Linked DNA regions of Rattus norvegicus. The protein of the gene in region 1 purifies or fractionates together with the protein of each later gene. This does not show direct contact. Links are inferred from orthologs where the notes say so. Each region holds a gene or a part of one and is shown on either strand. Other genes may lie near its edges.

Region 1 (5,977 bases):
TTACTCATTAACTCTGGTTTCAAAATTCTGTCCTGGGTGGCTTGTAGTAGGCATGCACCAGATACCTGGGGTTGAAACATCTGCCCAACTACTCTGATGCCCAAACAGTGTTTGCCAGAAGCTACAATGTTTTCAAACAAGGGACTGGTACTTTTCAAAGAGATAACTGAGAAACTAACAAAGAACCAAGGAAAAAGGAAAGCCTAAAATCACAAAGAGAGTAAAAGCTTCAATGGTGGTGGATGTGTGTGTGTGTGTGGGGGGGGGGGGGGATGAAAAACCTATTTTCAATTTACAAGTCCTTTTATAAAGCTGGTCCCCAACCCCTCCCCCCAAATCGAGACACTTGGATAAAACACACACACACACACACACACCCCACACAAGGGAAGCTTCCATGGCCCCTCCCATCAAACTTGCGCTCTTTTAAAACACACACACACACACACACACACACACACACACACACACACACACCTCTCTTTCTTGCAAGCCTGACAAACGCAACCTCCCCCAAGAATAATTCCATTTAAAAAGCCCCCCACTCGCGAGAAAACATTAATCTACTTTGCAAACATGCGTTCCAGTTTGTGCTTTACTATTTTTCTCAACTACCCCCCCCCCCGCCTTTTGTACCTTGAGACAAATGTTTTTTTCCCCCAGAGTTGAAAGCGGTCCAAAAACAGGACCACACACGCGGCCGCCTCTGCAGGCCCGCGCGGCGCCCGCCCCCTGCGCGCCCCGGGGGCGCGCACACTCCCTGCAGCCAGAGGGGTGGCCTTGCCCTCCACCCCCCTCTCCTTTCTCCGCAGACGCAGTGGGTGGGTGGGGGGTGGGGGGGAAGAAGCTGAGCCCAGGCGCCCGGATCAGAGAGGCCTTTCCCGGGCCGCGGCTCCCGGGCCAAAGCCAGGCAGGCGGCTGTGGCGGGTCTAGGGGACCACCCCCACGGCCCTGCGGAGTGGTCCATCCCGCGCAGGGCCCCTGCGCCCCCGCCACTCTCTCCCACCACACCTAGCAAAGCAAAGCGCCCCGAGTAGATTACAGCGCGGCCTTTGTCGGGCGGGCCTGGCTGCTGGCCAGCCATGCAAACAATAAACAGTCGCCCCTGGTGCGGGCAAGGACTTCGTTGGCTACAGGGAGGCTCTAGGTGGATGCTGGCAAATATCTTCATCAAACGCAGTAAAGGGAAGGAAGACGAAGGACGCACTAGCGGCGCCGGGTCGCTTACCTTCCACCCACAGCTCCTCCACGTTGGTCTCGAGATTAGCTGCCTTTAATCCCACAGCGAAGGCCCCAAATATGAGGAGACCCACAACCAAAAACTTGCCGCAGTTCTTTTGAATGTAACAACCCAGTTTAAATAAGAGTCTTTGAAACTTCGCTCTCAGCCACAGCGGCGCTTTCCGGCCAGTAGCCTTCCCCTGGGGACGAAGCAGAAGGGAGGAGTGAACGCCGGGGAATCGCTGTCTCCGCACACCCGCTAGGGGATCCCCTCTGGATAGTAGTGGGGGGCGTGGGCGCCCGTGGTGCAGTGACTCGCCCACGGGACTGGAACCAGGACAGTCCAGAGGGATCCCTGGAGGCGTGGGGGCCTTGGTTGTAAATCTGTGAGACTGCAGCGTGGGAACTGCACTCTAGGGACCAGGGGGCGCCCCCACGCATGGCCTGAGCACTAACCCTGAATGAGACTTAGGACGCTGGGGAGAAAGGCTAACAGAGAAGCCGTCAACAGCAGCCAGGGTTTAGTACCGGGGACTTGGGAGAGGGAGGGCCTGAGTGATCCTAGCGGAGAAGCCCAACACCAAAGAACCCCCAGAACACGTCCCCCCTTCCCCTGCTCCAGCCTGTGGCTTCCTCCGGTGCCCCGGAGGCCGGGTAAAGGGCGCAAGCGCACTTAGGGACAATATACAGCGACCGTGGCCCATCTGGTCCCGGCCTGGTGTGGCTGTAAGCGAGGTCCACGTGGTAAGCCCCGCAGCCAGAGCTCGCTCTACACACTTTTCCACAGCCTTGGGAGACACCGCGGGAGCTCAGTTAGGAAGTGCGGCAGCCATCTGCAACTTACACTATTTGTGCTCGGAAGTGGGCGGCCACAAGGATCTTTCCCTCCTCTCCCACTCCCTCCTGGTGAACTCTTTAAAAATGCCGAGTGCACAGGGAAGAGGCCCAGGCCGGCGCCGACCGGGGTTCTGGCTGGGCGCAGGCTGTTCTCGGGGCGGCGGAGCCCCGGTGCTGGCCAGGGCCCCTGCGGGCCCCAGGCTAGGTGCTTGCCTTCCCCGGATTCCACACATTTCAGCCAGCCTCGTAAACACAATGAACCCGGCGGTTCAGCACACCCGTACCGAAGATTTAAGGTGGCAACTTGTTTACAACTGCCCCTCTCCCCGGCAGGCTGGGAGAAGAGGCGGCCCAAGACCTAGAAGAGAAGGGACGTCCTCTCCCGAGAATAATTTTTAAGGGAGCAAAGATTTCAAGCTCAACGAAAGCAGAACCGGCTGCCAAAAAAGGAAACCACCTTTACTTTGGCTCCCTCCCCTCTGTCTCTCTCCGCCTCTCTCCACTCCGCCTCCCCCTCAAAGAGGTTAAGAAATGTGGCAACGCCGAACTTTAGGTTGCAACCGTGGGCAGGGGCGCGGGAGAAGGGCGCTGGGGCCCGGGGCAGTGCCGCACTGCGGCCGCCCTGGAGGTGGTCCACTCCGGACGGTTTCCAAAGCTCCGGAAAAGGCACACCAGGGAGGGCGTGTGCGCGCGCACACACCACACACACATACACACTCACACACACGCACCCCTCCACCCCCTGCGGACCTCAGACAGCCCTTTCCTCCGGAGTCCGGAGGGAGAGTTTGAAATTTTCAACCTTCACTTTGCTGCTTTCTCAGGAGAGTGTGTGTGTGTCTGTGTGGAAGGGATTCCAAGGAGGAAGAAGAGGGGAAAGTGAAGAGGGAGGAGGGGACAGAAGTGCACCTTGGAAATCTGCTCCAGAGCGAAGGCGGCGTCGCAGTAGCTGGGCCGGTGCAGATAGTCCCGGTCCGGCGCGGCGCGGTGCGGTCCCCCGGTCCGTCTGCGCCTCCCGCCGCCGGCCTGCCTGCCCAGGGCCCCGGCGGCGTTACCAGCCGAGGCCATGTTGCCGCCGCCGCCGCGGGCTCCGGGCGCGCCTGGGCGCTCGGCTCGCGAGGACGCTGCTGGCGGCCGGGGACTCCGGCTCCGGGTGACAGACCCGCTGCTGCCGCTCACACGGCGGGCGCTGCGGGTGCTGCGGCCGTGGCCGCTGCCGGGGACTCAGACCCTGAGCCTTCCATTGCCACATTGCGCGTGAGTCCCGAGGTCTTTGCGGCCGCCGCTGCCCACATCCAGCTCGCGGGAAGGCGAGAGCCGGCACTTCCAGGGCGCGCCTCGCGGTCCCCAAGTCCCCCCCAGACGTCCCCGCCCCGCGCCGCGACCCCTTCACGGCAGAAGGCGCGCGCAGACCCCCGCCGCTTGCGCCGGCTCCCTCGGCGCCCGCTGCGGGCGACGCGACGGTGCCCGGCGGGTCTCAGCGATGCCGGGCCGGGGCTGCCGCCGCTGCTGCTGCTGGTGCGGCTGCGGCTGGAGTTGGCGGTGGCGGCTTCTGAAGCGGCTGCTCGCTCTCGGGCTGCTGGGTTCGCGGTGGCTGCTCGGTCCCGGACTCTGCTTTCTTGTTCTCCTCACCGACCCGCTGGACCATTCTGCCCCCGCGCCGCGCGCCTCTCTCGCTACCGGGACCTGAGGACTCCGCTCTGTGTGTGTGCAGCGGGCAGCGGCCGCAGCAGCTCCTTGACTCAATAGATGAGATGGAAGAAGAAAAAAAAGAACTCTCTCCATTTGGAGAAAGAGGAGGAGGAGGGGAGGGGGTGGAGGGGGAGAGAGCGAGCGAAAGAGAAAAAGGCTGGAACTCCCGCCCCCGGGGCTGTCAGATGGCTTGGGTTTCTGCGACGCGATTGGCTCTTGGAGGGCAGAAATTACTCAGCAAACATGACTATTATTAGCTGCTTAGCAACAGCTCACCAAAGTAGAGAGACCACCCAGGTAGGCAACCCCCGTGTGTGCATCCCAGGCTTGGGGGTGGGGGGGCGCTCGCCCAGCGCCAACCTTCTCGCATGCAATACTTCCATTAAGGAATGCTTCCCCCTCCTTTCTTTCTTATTTCTTTTCTTTTCAACAGTGTCTTCTTTTTTTGAGACGCTTTTTGCGAGCGAGCGCGCGCACACACACACACATACACACGCACACGCTCACACAGGAGCATTTGCCTCGTAATAGACAGGGGGGATATGTAATATTTTTTTAAGCGCTTAAACAATTTCTGAGATTCCTCAAAGAAAACCCTTTTAGAGGCACTTTGGCCTCAAGCTGCAGCGAATACTGGGAGGTCCGGCTTGAATTCCCAGGCCTGCACCAATAATGACAGGGTGGTGGATAGTGCGCCAATGTGTGCCAATTTTTTTTTCTCCTCTTTTCTTTTATAACCAAAGGCAAGACTTAGACTCTTGCAGGGAACAACGCCTTGTATTAAGATAAACAAAATGGAAAGTTAAAGAGGCGAGCAAAGATGTTGGGAAAAGCCACCCCTTTTTAAAACCCCTCACACTCCCCTAGCACCCCCCCCCAAATACACAACAGCACAGTCCAATTTGAACACGTCTATAAGGAGAAGCCAGACACAGTCTGATTTTTTATTCGAATGTTGAACATATAAAAAGAAGCAAATCTTTTCAGCAGGCCAGAGAAATGTAAATGAGAGATTTCTTGATTATTTAGGGTTCATCTGGACCCCCATTAATTAATCACATTCTTAAAAGAAAGTTTTAAGCTTTTTAAAAAATAAAGCTCGATACGCATCCTGTAACATTTAATAGCGTGACGTAGGAGAGAATAAAGGCTTTGATGTGGAATTCATTTTAAACATATTGTTCATAGATCGCTAATATTTGTCCTGATATTGCGTCCAGTGTCACCAAGACATCCAGGGGATTCACTTTACTGTTGAACAAAACAACAACAAAAATGCGACGTGGGGGAGGGGAGTGAATCTTGGAGCCAGCAACACTTTAAATTGTCTACTCAACTACGCTCTTTAAGAAAAATAATAACAACTCTTAAGAAAGCACATTCCATTCTCCTGTAAGTTTGAAGTTCCTCCTTCCCGCAGTAGACACCAGACCCAGGAACACCAGATTCTGTTACGTCCTATTTTTTTTTCCAACTTGAAATGCAGAGGGAACCGGAGTAGTGAGGAGCCAAATGAACCCGTGAAATGGGGCAGTGTGGCTTTAAGATGCACACGGTGTGTGTTCATTGAAAAAAAAAAAAGAAAGAAAAGGAAAGAAAGAACCCAGATGGAGGGAAAGGGGGAGGAGCGGGGAGAAGGCGGAGCCTACTCCACCACGTGACCCGGAGCAAGAGGCCCATCCGCGCACCCGCGTGAGTGTGCGTCCGCGCGCTCCAGTCTTCGGCCTGCTCTTGATGAGGGCGCACAGGTAACAGGGTCCGCGCGCTGACCTGCACGCTCCAGCCCTCATTACAGTACGCACAACCTTCCCGGGCCCGGGGCTGTGTGCGCGCCCTACCGCCGCGGACAGACGTGCTGGGCACGCCGTAGTACATTCCTGAAGGCGGCCCGGCCCCCTCGCGTTGCCCAATGAACGCGCGGCTTCTCCGCTGCTGGCCAATGGCTGCGTTCCGGCCCTTCCATTCAGCGGCGCCGACTGCGGTTAGACAGGGGCCGCGCAGGGGCGCGCGGCCACCAGCGGAGCACCCGGCTCCTAGGGCCCGGGGTGGGGGTGGGGGTGGGAGTTGAGGTCTCCCCCACCCCCATCATGTTGCAGTCCTTCATCGCTGCCCAGTCAGCCTCCCCTCTAGCCTTGTCTCCTTCCGGGCTTCCCTAGGACGCCTTGCCATCCTGAATCTCAAACCTGCGGAATCCGTTCGGTTTCTGAGGTGGGGTGATGAATCTGAG
Region 2 (5,752 bases), on another chromosome or scaffold:
CTGCAAGAATCACATCGGAGAAAGCCTGACACAGATATTCTTCGGCAGGTGCACATCCAGATGTTTCCATTGGGCTTGGAGAGGGAGTATCAACCTTGAAGAAAAGAGACTTCATGAAACATGCTACATCATGGGAGCGTAAAGTCATCATCCCCAATTCAGTAAGTCATTCTAAATAAATGTAATTCATTTTATTAAACGAAAGGTATTTCAGATTCTTTCCCCCAATTTCTTTTTGGGAAATGATTCATACTGGGCTGGAGTGATGGTTTTAGCTATAAAGAACATTTGCTGCTTTTGCCAAGGGCTGGTTTTCTATTAAAAAACCAGGTGACTCAACCTTAGTTCCAGGATATCTGACGACCTCTTCAGATCTCCCTGGGCCCTGCACTCATTGCAAACTGATATCTCACTCATGAAGAAAAAAACAAACCATAGAACAAAACAAAACAAAACAAAACAAACAAACAAAAAATGGCAGGCTGGAGAGATGCCTCAGAGGTTAAGAGCACTGATTGCTCTTCCAGAGGTCCTGAGTTCAATTCCCAGCAACCACATGGTGGCTCACAACCGTCTGTAACGGGATTCAATGTCCTCTTCTGGTGTGTTTGAAGACAGCTGCAGTGTACTCACATACATAAATCTTTAAAAAAAACAAACAATTCTAACAATCAGAAAACAGTTCTAACAATCAGAGCCAGGCATGGTTAATATAAGCTTTGATCCCAGCACCTGGAAGGCAGGTCTCTGAGTTGAAGCCAGCCTGGTCTCCATAGCAAACTGCAAGCCAGCAAGATCTGGTCTCATAAAAAAATAAGCCCCAATTTAGATTCAGGTAGTTTAAAGTACGAAGAAGTGGGCTGGCAAGACGGGTAAAGGTACCTGTTGCTAAGCCTAACAACTGAGTTCAACCCCCAGGAGATCCACATGGTGGAAGAACTGACTCAAAAGCTGTCTTCTAAGGGGTTGGGGATTTAGCTCAGTGGTAGAGTGCTTGCCTAGGAAGCGCAAGGCCCTGGGTTCGGTCCCCAGCTCCGAAGGGGGAAAAAAAAAAAGCTGTCTCTGACTTCTCTGTGTATTCTCACACAAAATACAAGAGAGCATGGGAGCTGGAGAACTGTCTCAGCAGTTAAAGAGCCCTTGATACTCCATGAGGACCAGAATTCAGATCCTAGCATCCACACTGGGTGGCTCACAAATGCTTGTTACTCCAGCTCCAAAGGAGTCTCTCTTCAGATACATACGATTGGGCACACACAGGACTCTATAGATACTAACATGTAAGGCAAGTCAAAGGAAACGAGCAGGTAAGTGATAATAAAGCCATTTATTCATCAGCATCATGTGAGGTCAATTCAAAAGAATGCCAAGCCTTCAATTATCAATTAATCAATTATTCAGGTGAATACAAGTTCTTGATTACAAACCCAGAGAGCCCTAGCTAGCCTTGAGCATTCAACCCTCCTGCCTTAGAGGAAGTACTAAAATCACAAACATGCACCATCACACCTAGTAGTAAAATCTGGCGGTGTGTGTGTGTGGTTTTAGTACTCAAGGACTGAACCCAGAGCATCCCTATGCTAAACACAATCTAACAGGCTACGAACTCAGGTAAACTTCCATTTGGGGCTTAAATGTTAACCCATCAACATTAATCCATCATCTTTTTTTTTTTTAAAGATTTATTTATTTATTATATATAAGTACACTGTAGCTGTCTTCAGACACACCAGAAGAGGGCATCAGATCCCATTACAGATGGTTGTGAGCCACCATGTGGTTGCTGGGATTTGAACTCAGGACCTTTGGAAGAGCAGTCAGTGCTCTTAACCTCTGAGCCATCTCTCCAGCCCTATTTTTTTTTTTTAAACGGTTTCACTAGATGCAGCTCTGTCTGGACTGGATCTTACTATATACACAGCCCGCCTTGAACTTAGAGGCCCACCTGCCTCTAGGCCAGAATGCTGGGATTGGAAGATGTGTTACCAAGGACCCTATTTAATTAATCTTATTTCTGTCTGAGATTTTTTTTTCCTTTTAAAGAAACCAATTAAAAGATCTAGCCTGAATATATCACCCCAGCATTGGAGAGGTGGGAATCTCAAACTCAAGGACAGCGGAAGCTATACAGTTACACAAAAAAGAAAATGATTATGCCACCTCTGGATCCCAGGCCTCGAGGGGCAGGCAAACCTCTATGTTCCAGGCCAGCCAGGAGCACACAGTGAGACTGTCTACATAAAACAAGAGCCCTACCATATTTATCTGCCACCATCTGAAGCAGAGTGCTAATACTTACCCTAGAGCTGTTAGTGCACGTAAAATGCACTAACCACTCAATAAACAATATATTTAAATGCCGTCGTGTGCATCAACATGAAATGAAGTCAGAGAGGAGGAATACACTTTTTAAAATGCTAAGTTTACCAAAATAGGCTCAGGAGAGTGTTTCACTTCCATAACAGGTTCAGGCTCAGGCTCATCCAGTTCCACCTCTGGTTCGCACACTGGCACCTTGTCCACAGGTTTTGGTAGGGCTTTAACAGTAACTGTTCCAGAACCTAACTTTTTTGTTTCCTGTGGATGAAAGTGAAAGAACAGAATGTTTTTCCAACGGTGACACCTAGAAGATGGGCTTTTTCAGGATAACTGGACCAGGAAGATAAGTTACCTTTTTGAGGGGTATTCTTGACTGTTCGCTGACTTTATTACCAATGTCTCCAAGAGCAGTTCTCGATCTCAGCAGGGGTTTGGAGGCAGCAACTGCCACAGGCACACGCTTGGCGCCTGCCATGCTGACCTTGGCCTTATTTTCTGTGTTAATTTTCGTGTTCTGAAAGAAGTAAGAACCACTTGAGAGAGGATCCATGGCGGCTCCAGGAAGTCATGGGTTAATTAAGGCGGGACCCCACTATGGAAAGCAAGGGCTCTAGGATCTATCCTCCAGCCCTGACAAGCAGGTTTCCACCCAAAACGTTCACCTATTATCCAATTTCCCTTTAAGTCCCAAGCAATCCTAAACACGGTGAAATTTACATCGGAAAGGTAATCATGAAAGCCTCCTTGTAGACAGCTCTCTGGGAAGACTCTGGGCAGACAGACTCTGGGAAGATTCACTCTGGGCCTTCATCATTAAAAGCACACCACCCTACTCCCTCTAAGTCCTTCAGCCCAGATATGTCCCGAAGTCTTTTTTCACCCTCCAGGGAGGGTCCTTAGCTCCTCCATTGGCCGGAACCTTCCGGGCATCCCCTTCCCCTCCTGGCCGCCGCGGCCTTCTCCCACAGCGAGGACCGCAGCGCCCGGCCCGACTCACCCTAGTGACCCTGAGCGCCATGGCTCCTCCTGAAGCAGAGGTTCGCCGATCTGAGAAGACACCCTAACCTCTGGCTGCCCACACCTAAACACTAACAGCCGTTCCCCCACAGCACGCCGGGAGGAGTCTGCCGGGCCTGGGTTTAAACCCCGGGCCGCTCCCTCCTCATTGGTCAGTTCATGGCACTCGCTCTCTTCCCATTGGTGCTGCGGGTTCCCGTAGAATGCGTTTCCTGGGCGATCCCGCGATCCCAAGTTCGGCGAGGGGTGGGGCCAGAGCGAGGCTGTAGCTGGCAGCACCGCCCACCCCTCGTGAGGTCAAGCTCTGCGCCTGCGCACTCGCCTCTTTGCTGCCACCTGCTTTAGGTAGGCTTGGCCGGCAATGCCCACTTGTGTGCTGTCCAAGGCAACTCCGTTGGACCTTAGGAAAATGACTGTGGGGCCGCCACGTTTCTGGAGCACGCATAACAGTTTTGCTGTCCTATTTATTGTTTCTCTTTTTAAAAATAGATTTATTTATTTAGTATATATAAGTACACTGTAGCTGTCTTCAGACACACCAGAAGAGGGCATCTGATCCCATTACAGACGGTTATGAATGAGCCACCATGTGGTTGCTGGGATTTGAACAGGATCTCTGGAAGAGCAGTCAGTGCTCTTAACCGCTGAGCCATCTCTCCAGCCCCTACTTACTGTTTCTCATCCTCATCTACAGAAGTGCCAGTACTATCTTAAGAGTTCGCGAAAGCTTTGAAGCAGAGACAGTCTTTAGTATGATTGTTCCGACCGCTGCCTGGGATGGATTTTGAGGTTTATAGCATGAAGTTATAGCCTAAGCAAATAGATTAACATACCAATCGCCCCAATAGCTACTGCCCCAGGGACAAAAGAAAATGTGCCACATGCTTAATTTCGCTCCTGTTTAAGATTACTTCAAAAATACAGTTTTGTAGAATCTATTCTATTTAACAAGAATCCATAATGCAGCACTCCATCCTTCTACCTCAGACACCTTATTAAGGCTAAATAACTTCAGTGAAATCTTTTTCCACATTAAATTTCAGTAACATCAATGAGGATTTATTTATTTGTTGACCAGGATCTCTTGTAGCACAGGTTGTTGGCATTCCTTCTATGCTCTGCCCAACAGTTACCTAGCAACAGCCAGATAGGCCAGTTTGCTATAAAAAAAGAACTGCTTCTCTCCTCCTCTCCTTTCCCTTCCCCTCCCTTCCCCCTTCTCTCTGTCCTCTGTCCCCTCTCTTTCTCTGTCTCTATTCCTTTCTCAACTCCCTTTCCCATGCCCCCAAATAAACTATTCTGTACTAAACCCATCATGGCTGGTATCTGGTGTGAAGGGTATATGCTTCAGCATCGGTCCACTGAGGTATTCCCTCCCACCACACCATACTGTGCTCTGTAAAACATATCCTTGGTTTTATAAAATACATCACAGGTCGAAGTCCCTATGTAGCTGAGAATGACCTTAAATCTCCTGTTCTCCCTCCTCTACCTCCTCAGTGTTGAGAGTACAGCATACAACTTTACACTGGATTTATGTCACACTCATGATTGAAGCGAGGATTTCAAGCATGGCGGACAAACACTACCAATGGAGAGGTATCCCTAGCCCTCTAGTAATCATTGCTATGCAAATTAATATATTTAGTAAGCAAATACTATATCCCAGGATTGCCTCCTTATCCCCCAACGTGTGTGTGTGTGTGTGTGTGTGTGTGTGAACCTGGTTTGTTTTATTTAAGACAAGCACTTCTCACACTTGCTTGAAGCACTGTGCTCCAGGTTTCCCAGCGTTTGTGAGCTTGTCACCTATGCTGGGGTGGGCCTAGGTGACGCAGTTGTCTTCGAGTCATTTCTGCTTCCGCGAGAAACTATAATAAAACTCTTTGGTTCACCAAGTTGGACTTTGGTGGTATCCATACTTTGGTCTGTCTTGAGCTCCCTATCTGGGGTGAGTGGATGTGTGTTTAGTCACGTAACAGGTGTGATGCAAAATGATGCTCACGAACTCACTGCAGTTACAGGTACCTGTACAAAACCATCTGATTGGGCTTATCGGTATTTCATCACGGGGCTCATGAAGCCCCATCCTCCCTCCCTCGAGGGACCACTGAGGGTCTGAGGTAGGATAAATAACTAAAGGTCAGCAGGAGCAATATACCAGGATAAGGGGGAGGTGTCTTCAGGATATAACACGTTCAAGGGCTATTATAAGGTCTTTTCTCAAAAGAAAAAAAATAGAAGAAAATGAAAGAGAAGATAAGATCCAGGGACCTTTGAGGTAGACTGTGGACCTAAACAGTATAAAGGTCCATGATTCACCCAAGAATGATACCCCATACTCAAATCGTATGTAAACACAAAGAGTGTTTACGCACAAGTCCAGCATGCTAGAGTCTCCCATTACCAACACAGA
Region 3 (5,777 bases), on another chromosome or scaffold:
AGAGAAGGTTGGGAATGAGTCTGCTTCCCCAGATCCTCTAGGTGACAGAAGGAAGGGGATATCTTTCTGCCAAGTTACAGTGGCACTATGCCCAACAGTTCCCAGTCCCCAACCCTGGGAAATAAGAGCTGCGATGCCAGCCAAGCTCAGCCAAGCCACAACCCTGGGCACCAGCCACAGAGAGGCTGCCAAGATGGCCTACCCCAAAGTGGAACAACTCCCATTGGCATACGGGCACAGGAACGAACCCCATTGCTTCTTTACCTGGCTCTAGCTTCAGGGTGGGGAAGCAGGACCTGTATCTAATGGAGGCCCTGGCATGGGATTGTCCTTCTATCTGTGCATTAGCTCTGCCAGGGCAGCCTGTTTCTGTTTCAGCAACTGGCGAAGGGCTTGGGTCCTGTATACTGTAACCACTGATGATACCAGAAACTGCCCTGCTACTTTCAGGCCACTACCCAAGACCCACAAGCTCCCACGACAAGTGGCTTCAGATTCTGGTCACAAAGCAGTTCTACGGGACTGGGAGGAAGAGACAAAGCACAGGTAGGAAGAGTACTGTGGTCAGGACTCCAGAGATCTGTGATCCAATCCCAGAGCTTCTATGTGACAAGCCTCAAAGCCTCTCGGTTGTAAATGAGAGAAATGCAGTCTGCTGGGCCAGCCAGAGTCCCAGAGTTGTGAAGACAAGACACTCCACACATTGGGACATATTGGGCACACCTGAGACATGATGGTAACCACCTTCAAGGGCAAGAGATCTCTGCCTTGAGAGTGCGCAAAGTACACCATGAAGGGGACCTGCTTTCTTTCCATCACTGGCGGGGGTGGGGTGGGGGGACGGGAGCGGGGGCGGGGTGGGGGAGCATGCATGCCTAGGGCCATGGCTACTGCAAGGCGACTCTTCTGAGCACACCAGTGACCAGAATTAGAGGCTCCTAACCATTCACAGATTGAGCGGTTGGCCCAACAATGTACGACTGATGGTGACCCTGCACCTGTGGTGTCGTTCCCTAGAACTTGCAAGCCAGCTTCAGTTTTGCTCACAGAAATCACCCCATCCTGGTAACTGTTGGCCTTGCCAATTTCACATGTTGGTTTTTGGATCAACTGAGATGACAGATGTCAAAATAAATAATGAATTATTAAACTTTCCATTCTTGTTTGATCGCATCACATCATAGCTGCCGCCATATGAAAAGGTAAAAAGAGAGAGAGGTACAGATCATCATCTGTCAGGGTTCTTGAACACCAGCAGGGGAGACGACCTGAGGTGGGCATCCATTAAGAGCAATTCGTTCTGGGGAAAGACTATCCAGACATGGAGAGTTCTAGAAAAGGCACCACCTCAAACTTTGCAGACCTCCCACCTGCATTAGAATCCCACAGCTGTGGCTACCCAGGAGAGCTCAACAAGTACCCTAGATGCTGACTGCACCTCCCCCACTCTTCCCTCTAAGTTTTGTCATTTCTGAACTCATTTCCATCCTAACTGCTGCTGCCCCTAGACAGCCCCAGCTGACACTCAGTCTAGTTCCTGTTTTGAGAAATCTGATTGCAAATGTCTTAGAAAAAAGGGGGGCCCAACGGCCTCTTCAAAACACAGACCAATTTTTCCTCTACTGGGCACCGTTCTCAGTCAAACTGAAACCCAGTGTGCAGCCACTGGAGGAGGGGCCCAGTGAGAGGCACAGCAGCAAGCCTGCAAGCTGCCCACCCCACTCTAAGGACTGAGGCCACTAGAGGCCTATTTCACACTGCCCACTGGGGGTGGGGGGGAAACTCGCCCCATGTCCTATGACATAGAATGGCAGTAAAATCAGGGCCAGTTCTTGGCTGCTAAAGGGGTTGGTATAAGAAACTGGAGGGACTGGCCTCACCACCCACCATGTGGCATCCTGGTGGGTGGACACATCTCTTCCAGATGCAGGACATCCAGGCCCTTCAGGTCAGGATGAAACATAAAACCAGAAGCTGAGAGCCCTGATGTGGAGGCCAGGTGCCACTGTGGATAACCCAGGTGACACTATACAAGCCATCCAAGTCTGAGCTCTCTCACACATACCTTGTTCTATGGGAACAAAACTACACCTGCCTCACTCACTCTCTGATCTCCTGAGCAGTTCACATGGGAAGATAAGTCTATTTGCCATAGTATACTGGACAAGCCCCAGCTACACCTCTCACATCCTGCCCTACTCTGCACCCACATCCTGGACAGTTTAAACTTTGATACCAGGTGCGATGACATCAGTTGTCTTGCAGAGAGGTGGCAGCACGTCCAGTTGCTGTAGGATGGGAGGTCCCCTGGTCAAAAGTACCCACAAGGAACCACATGTGGGGAAAAGGGTAAAGAAGGGACTTCCCTCACCCGAGCGCAGCCCTCAAGGACGGTACACTGCACTGTCCCCAGAAAACACTCCCAAACCCAATCTCATAGTGACCCCACCGTAGGCGAAAGCAAAAGAAAAAAAAAGTCTCCAGAGTGGTCCTCCTCACTCCACAAACCTCACAAGAGTGTTACCCACTCCAAGGGGAGTGGATAAGGGTAGTGAACACCAACGGGGGTGAGTGGGTGCTGGGAGCAGGAGCAACAGACTGTGTGATACAATCGGGTAAACAGAGGCAGACTTGAGGAAGGGAACCACAAGAGGACACAGAGGGTAGAGGGCAGAGCCAAGCATCAGGGTGGAATGAAGGCTGCAGCAGAGCTTGGGGCTGACAGCGACCAGGCCCGGCAGTGAGATACAGGAAGCGGCAAGGCGGCCCGGGGAACGCGGCTAGGAGCTTGGACTTGGGGCGCTCTGTGCTCACAGACACCAAGCTTGCGGCGGCAGGGGCAGAGGAAGTCTCTGAGTCCTGGGGCGGCCAGGATAATGGGGTCTCCGGGGCAGAAGGTCCCCGGAGTAGAAGGGGTTCTTGGGTCATGGGGCAGCCGGGATAGTGGGGTCCTGGGGCAGAGGGTCCCCGGAACCTAGGACGGAGAGAGGGGTCCCTGGGGCACTGTATCCCGGGGCGGCGCGTGGGGCCCGGCACAGGCGGGCTCACCTGGGCTCTGGCAGCAGGATCTTCTTGCTGGCGCGCGCGGCCGGCGTGGCCTTGCTCTTCTCCATGGCCATCAGGTAGCTCACATCGGCCAGCACCGCCTCCAGGTCGGCCATCTTGGCGGCGGCGGCGCTGTTCCTCCCGCCGCCCGAGGCTCCGCTCCGCTCCCGCTCGCTCGGCCCGGCCCGGCCCGCGCGGCTTGTCGGCCTCGGCGCCGCCGCCGCCCCGCCCGGTCCTCGCTCGTCGCCCGCTCACAGGCGGCGCCGCCCCATGGCGCCGGCTCGGGCCCGGCCCGGCTCGCGCTCCGCTCCCGCCGGGACTGCAGTCGGGGCGCCGCCGCCGCCGCCGCCGCCACCACCACCCGCCCGCCCGCGCCCCGGAGCTGCCGCCGCCGCCTCCGGCCCCGCCTGCCGCGCACAGCGCCAGCGAGCCGCCGAGGGGCCGAGCCGGGCGGGCGGCGGGCGGGCGGGCGGACCGCAGCACCCCCTAGAGGCCGCACCGCTCGTGTCCGGGACACGAGTCTCAGTCCTGGACTGTTGTTACCTGAGTCTTGCACCAGATCGACCCAAGACCCCAAGCCATGGCCACTAACTTGATCGCATCTCCGGATGCTAAACTCCACGCTCCTACTCGGGCCTTTACCCAAGACCGTGGATCATAACAAGAATCCTGACACCGATCAAGACCCCATACTCAAATTTCTGAACATTCTCTCAAGATCATCATCTGACCTGACCTGACCGCAGACCTTGGATGACAATCCTGGACTTCAAACTCCCAACAGGACCCCAGACTCAGATCTTGGGCCACCCTCCTGACCACGAACATTTGTTGTTGTTCTTGTTTTAGAGAGGTTTACCCGTGTAGCCTCGGCTAGTCTGTAACTCACTATGTAGAGCAGGCTGCCCAAGAGATCTGCTTGCTCCCAAAGGCTGAAATGGATTAAAGGCATAGTCCATCAAACCATACTCTGATGAGGGCCGAACCTATTGTTTATATGTTTGTTTGTTTATTGTGTATGCCCAGACGGAGGTTCGAAGACAGGCAATTTGACAGTCAGTTCTTTCTTTTTACCACATAGGTCTCTAGGGATAGAATTCAAGGTCCTCAGGCTTGGTGGCAAGCATTTTACCCGCTGATCCCTCCTGTGTGCCTTCTTCCTTAGCCAACTCCTTCCTACTCTGTCTGCCCAGCACATGGGAGGCAAAAGCAGGTGCATTTCTGTAAAGCCAAAGCCAGCCAGGGCTAAACAGTGAGACCTGGTCTCAAGCTAGAGCACCTCTTTGCTTTCCAAGGACACTTTCAACCCAGTCTTCCCACTTCAGTCTTGGACACTTAGAAACTAATTCTCCTATCAACTCATGTCCAACAAAATAAGCACCCCCACTCCCTTGACTTCTTGACTACTTCAGGTGTAAACAAATCTGGGGGGGAGGGGTGTCAGTGGATGGCATCCCTAGACAGCCAGGTCTAAACCCAGACTGCTTTTCCCCACCTGCCACTATGCCCCCCCTCCTATGTCACCACTGACCTATCCATCTCTCAGGATTCCTATAACCGCTGCCCTCTGATGCAGGCTCCGAACAGAATGGTTGTCCTCAAATCTAGATCTGATGGGATTACTGTCCATTTAAGGCCAAACAACAGCTTAGTCTAGTCCCCCAGAGCTACCAAGAATAAAAAGTCTTGTTTTTGTTTCTGGTTTTGGTTTTTCCAGACAAGGTTTTTCTGTGTACTCCTGGATGCCCTGGTCACTCTGTAGACCAGGATGACCTCGGACTCAGAAATCTGCTTCCTTTTTGTTCTCCCAAGTGCTGGGGTCAAAGGTGTATGCCACTATACCCACTTGAGACTGTCAAGTCTTGTCTGGTTTTGTTTGGTTTGGTTTTTCAAGACAGGGTTTCCCTGTGTAGCCCTGGCTGTCTTGGAACTCGATCTGTAGACCAGGCTGGCCTTGAATTCAAACTCAGAGATTCACCTGCCTCTGACTTCCAAGTGCTGGGATTAAAGGCCTGAGCCACCACTGCCTGTCAGAAGTGTAAAATCTTTTTTTTCCCCCCACATGGAGAGGTTTAATGAGAGAAGAGTAGAAAAAGAGAAGAAAGGTGGCTGGCCATGAGTACGTGGAGGGGAGAATGGGGGCAAGAACAGAGGAGAACAAAGAGCAAGAGGGGGAAAGGAAGGTAAGAGGGAGTAAGAGCAAAAGTATAAAATCTTTTTTTTTTTTTTTTTGGTTCTTTTTTTCGGAGCTGGGGACCGAACCCAGGGCCTTGCGCTTCCTAGGTAAGCGCTCTACCACTGAGCTAAATCCCCAGCCCCAAAAGTGTAAAATCTTAAGGGGGCACTTTGGACCCCAATTTTCTGCTGCCCAAGCCAGGTTAGATGAATGAACGATAACTTGCATTTTGCTTTTGTGAAATAGAGTCTCACCGTGTAGCCTTTGGCTAGCTTGGAACTTACTATATAGACCAGGCTAACCTTGAATTTATAGAGATCTACCACCCTAGTGCCTGGCCTAGGCTAGAGTCTCTCTTTCTCTCTCTCATCCCCCCTCCTGCCCTGTTTTTGAGACATGATTTCTCTATGTAGCTGTGGCTGTGCTGGAATTCACTCAGTACACCAGGCTGGCCTCAAGCTCACAGAGTTTGCCTACTCCTGCCTCCTGAGTGCTGGGGTTAAAGGCCTGTGAAGGTGTCTTATGCTGAAGCATGAATGAGGGAGTCCTGTTGCCT

The links.
Region 2: the proteins of Ptch1 (region 1) and Ccnb1 purify together in Homo sapiens (affinity purification with western blotting; 3 studies listed by BioGRID and IntAct, with this or other methods). This does not show direct contact. The link is inferred for Rattus norvegicus from reciprocal best matches to the Homo sapiens genes PTCH1 and CCNB1.
Region 3: the proteins of Ptch1 (region 1) and Grk2 purify together in Homo sapiens (affinity purification with western blotting; 3 studies listed by BioGRID and IntAct, with this or other methods). This does not show direct contact. The link is inferred for Rattus norvegicus from reciprocal best matches to the Homo sapiens genes PTCH1 and GRK2.

Annotation. Positions count from the first base shown.
Region 1 is NC_086035.1:1,553,468-1,559,444, reverse strand, and holds the start of Ptch1 (protein patched homolog 1), read right to left. Parts: upstream 3,875-5,977; 5' UTR 3,127-3,874; coding exon 2,968-3,126; intron 2,899-2,967; exon of another isoform or gene 2,066-2,898; intron 1,422-2,065; coding exon 1,229-1,421; intron 1,193-1,228; exon of another isoform or gene 1,172-1,192; coding exon of another isoform or gene 637-1,171; intron 1-636.
Region 2 is NC_086020.1:33,651,788-33,657,539, forward strand, and holds the start of Ccnb1 (G2/mitotic-specific cyclin-B1), read right to left. Parts: upstream 3,439-5,752; 5' UTR 3,338-3,438; coding exon 3,317-3,337; intron 2,834-3,316; coding exon 2,672-2,833; intron 2,578-2,671; coding exon 2,428-2,577; intron 95-2,427; coding exon 1-94. UniProt on the Homo sapiens protein: Essential for the control of the cell cycle at the G2/M (mitosis) transition.
Region 3 is NC_086019.1:211,027,718-211,033,494, forward strand, and holds the start of Grk2 (beta-adrenergic receptor kinase 1), read right to left. Parts: upstream 3,297-5,777; 5' UTR 3,162-3,296; coding exon 3,049-3,161; intron 1-3,048. UniProt on the Homo sapiens protein: Specifically phosphorylates the agonist-occupied form of the beta-adrenergic and closely related receptors, probably inducing a desensitization of them. Key regulator of LPAR1 signaling.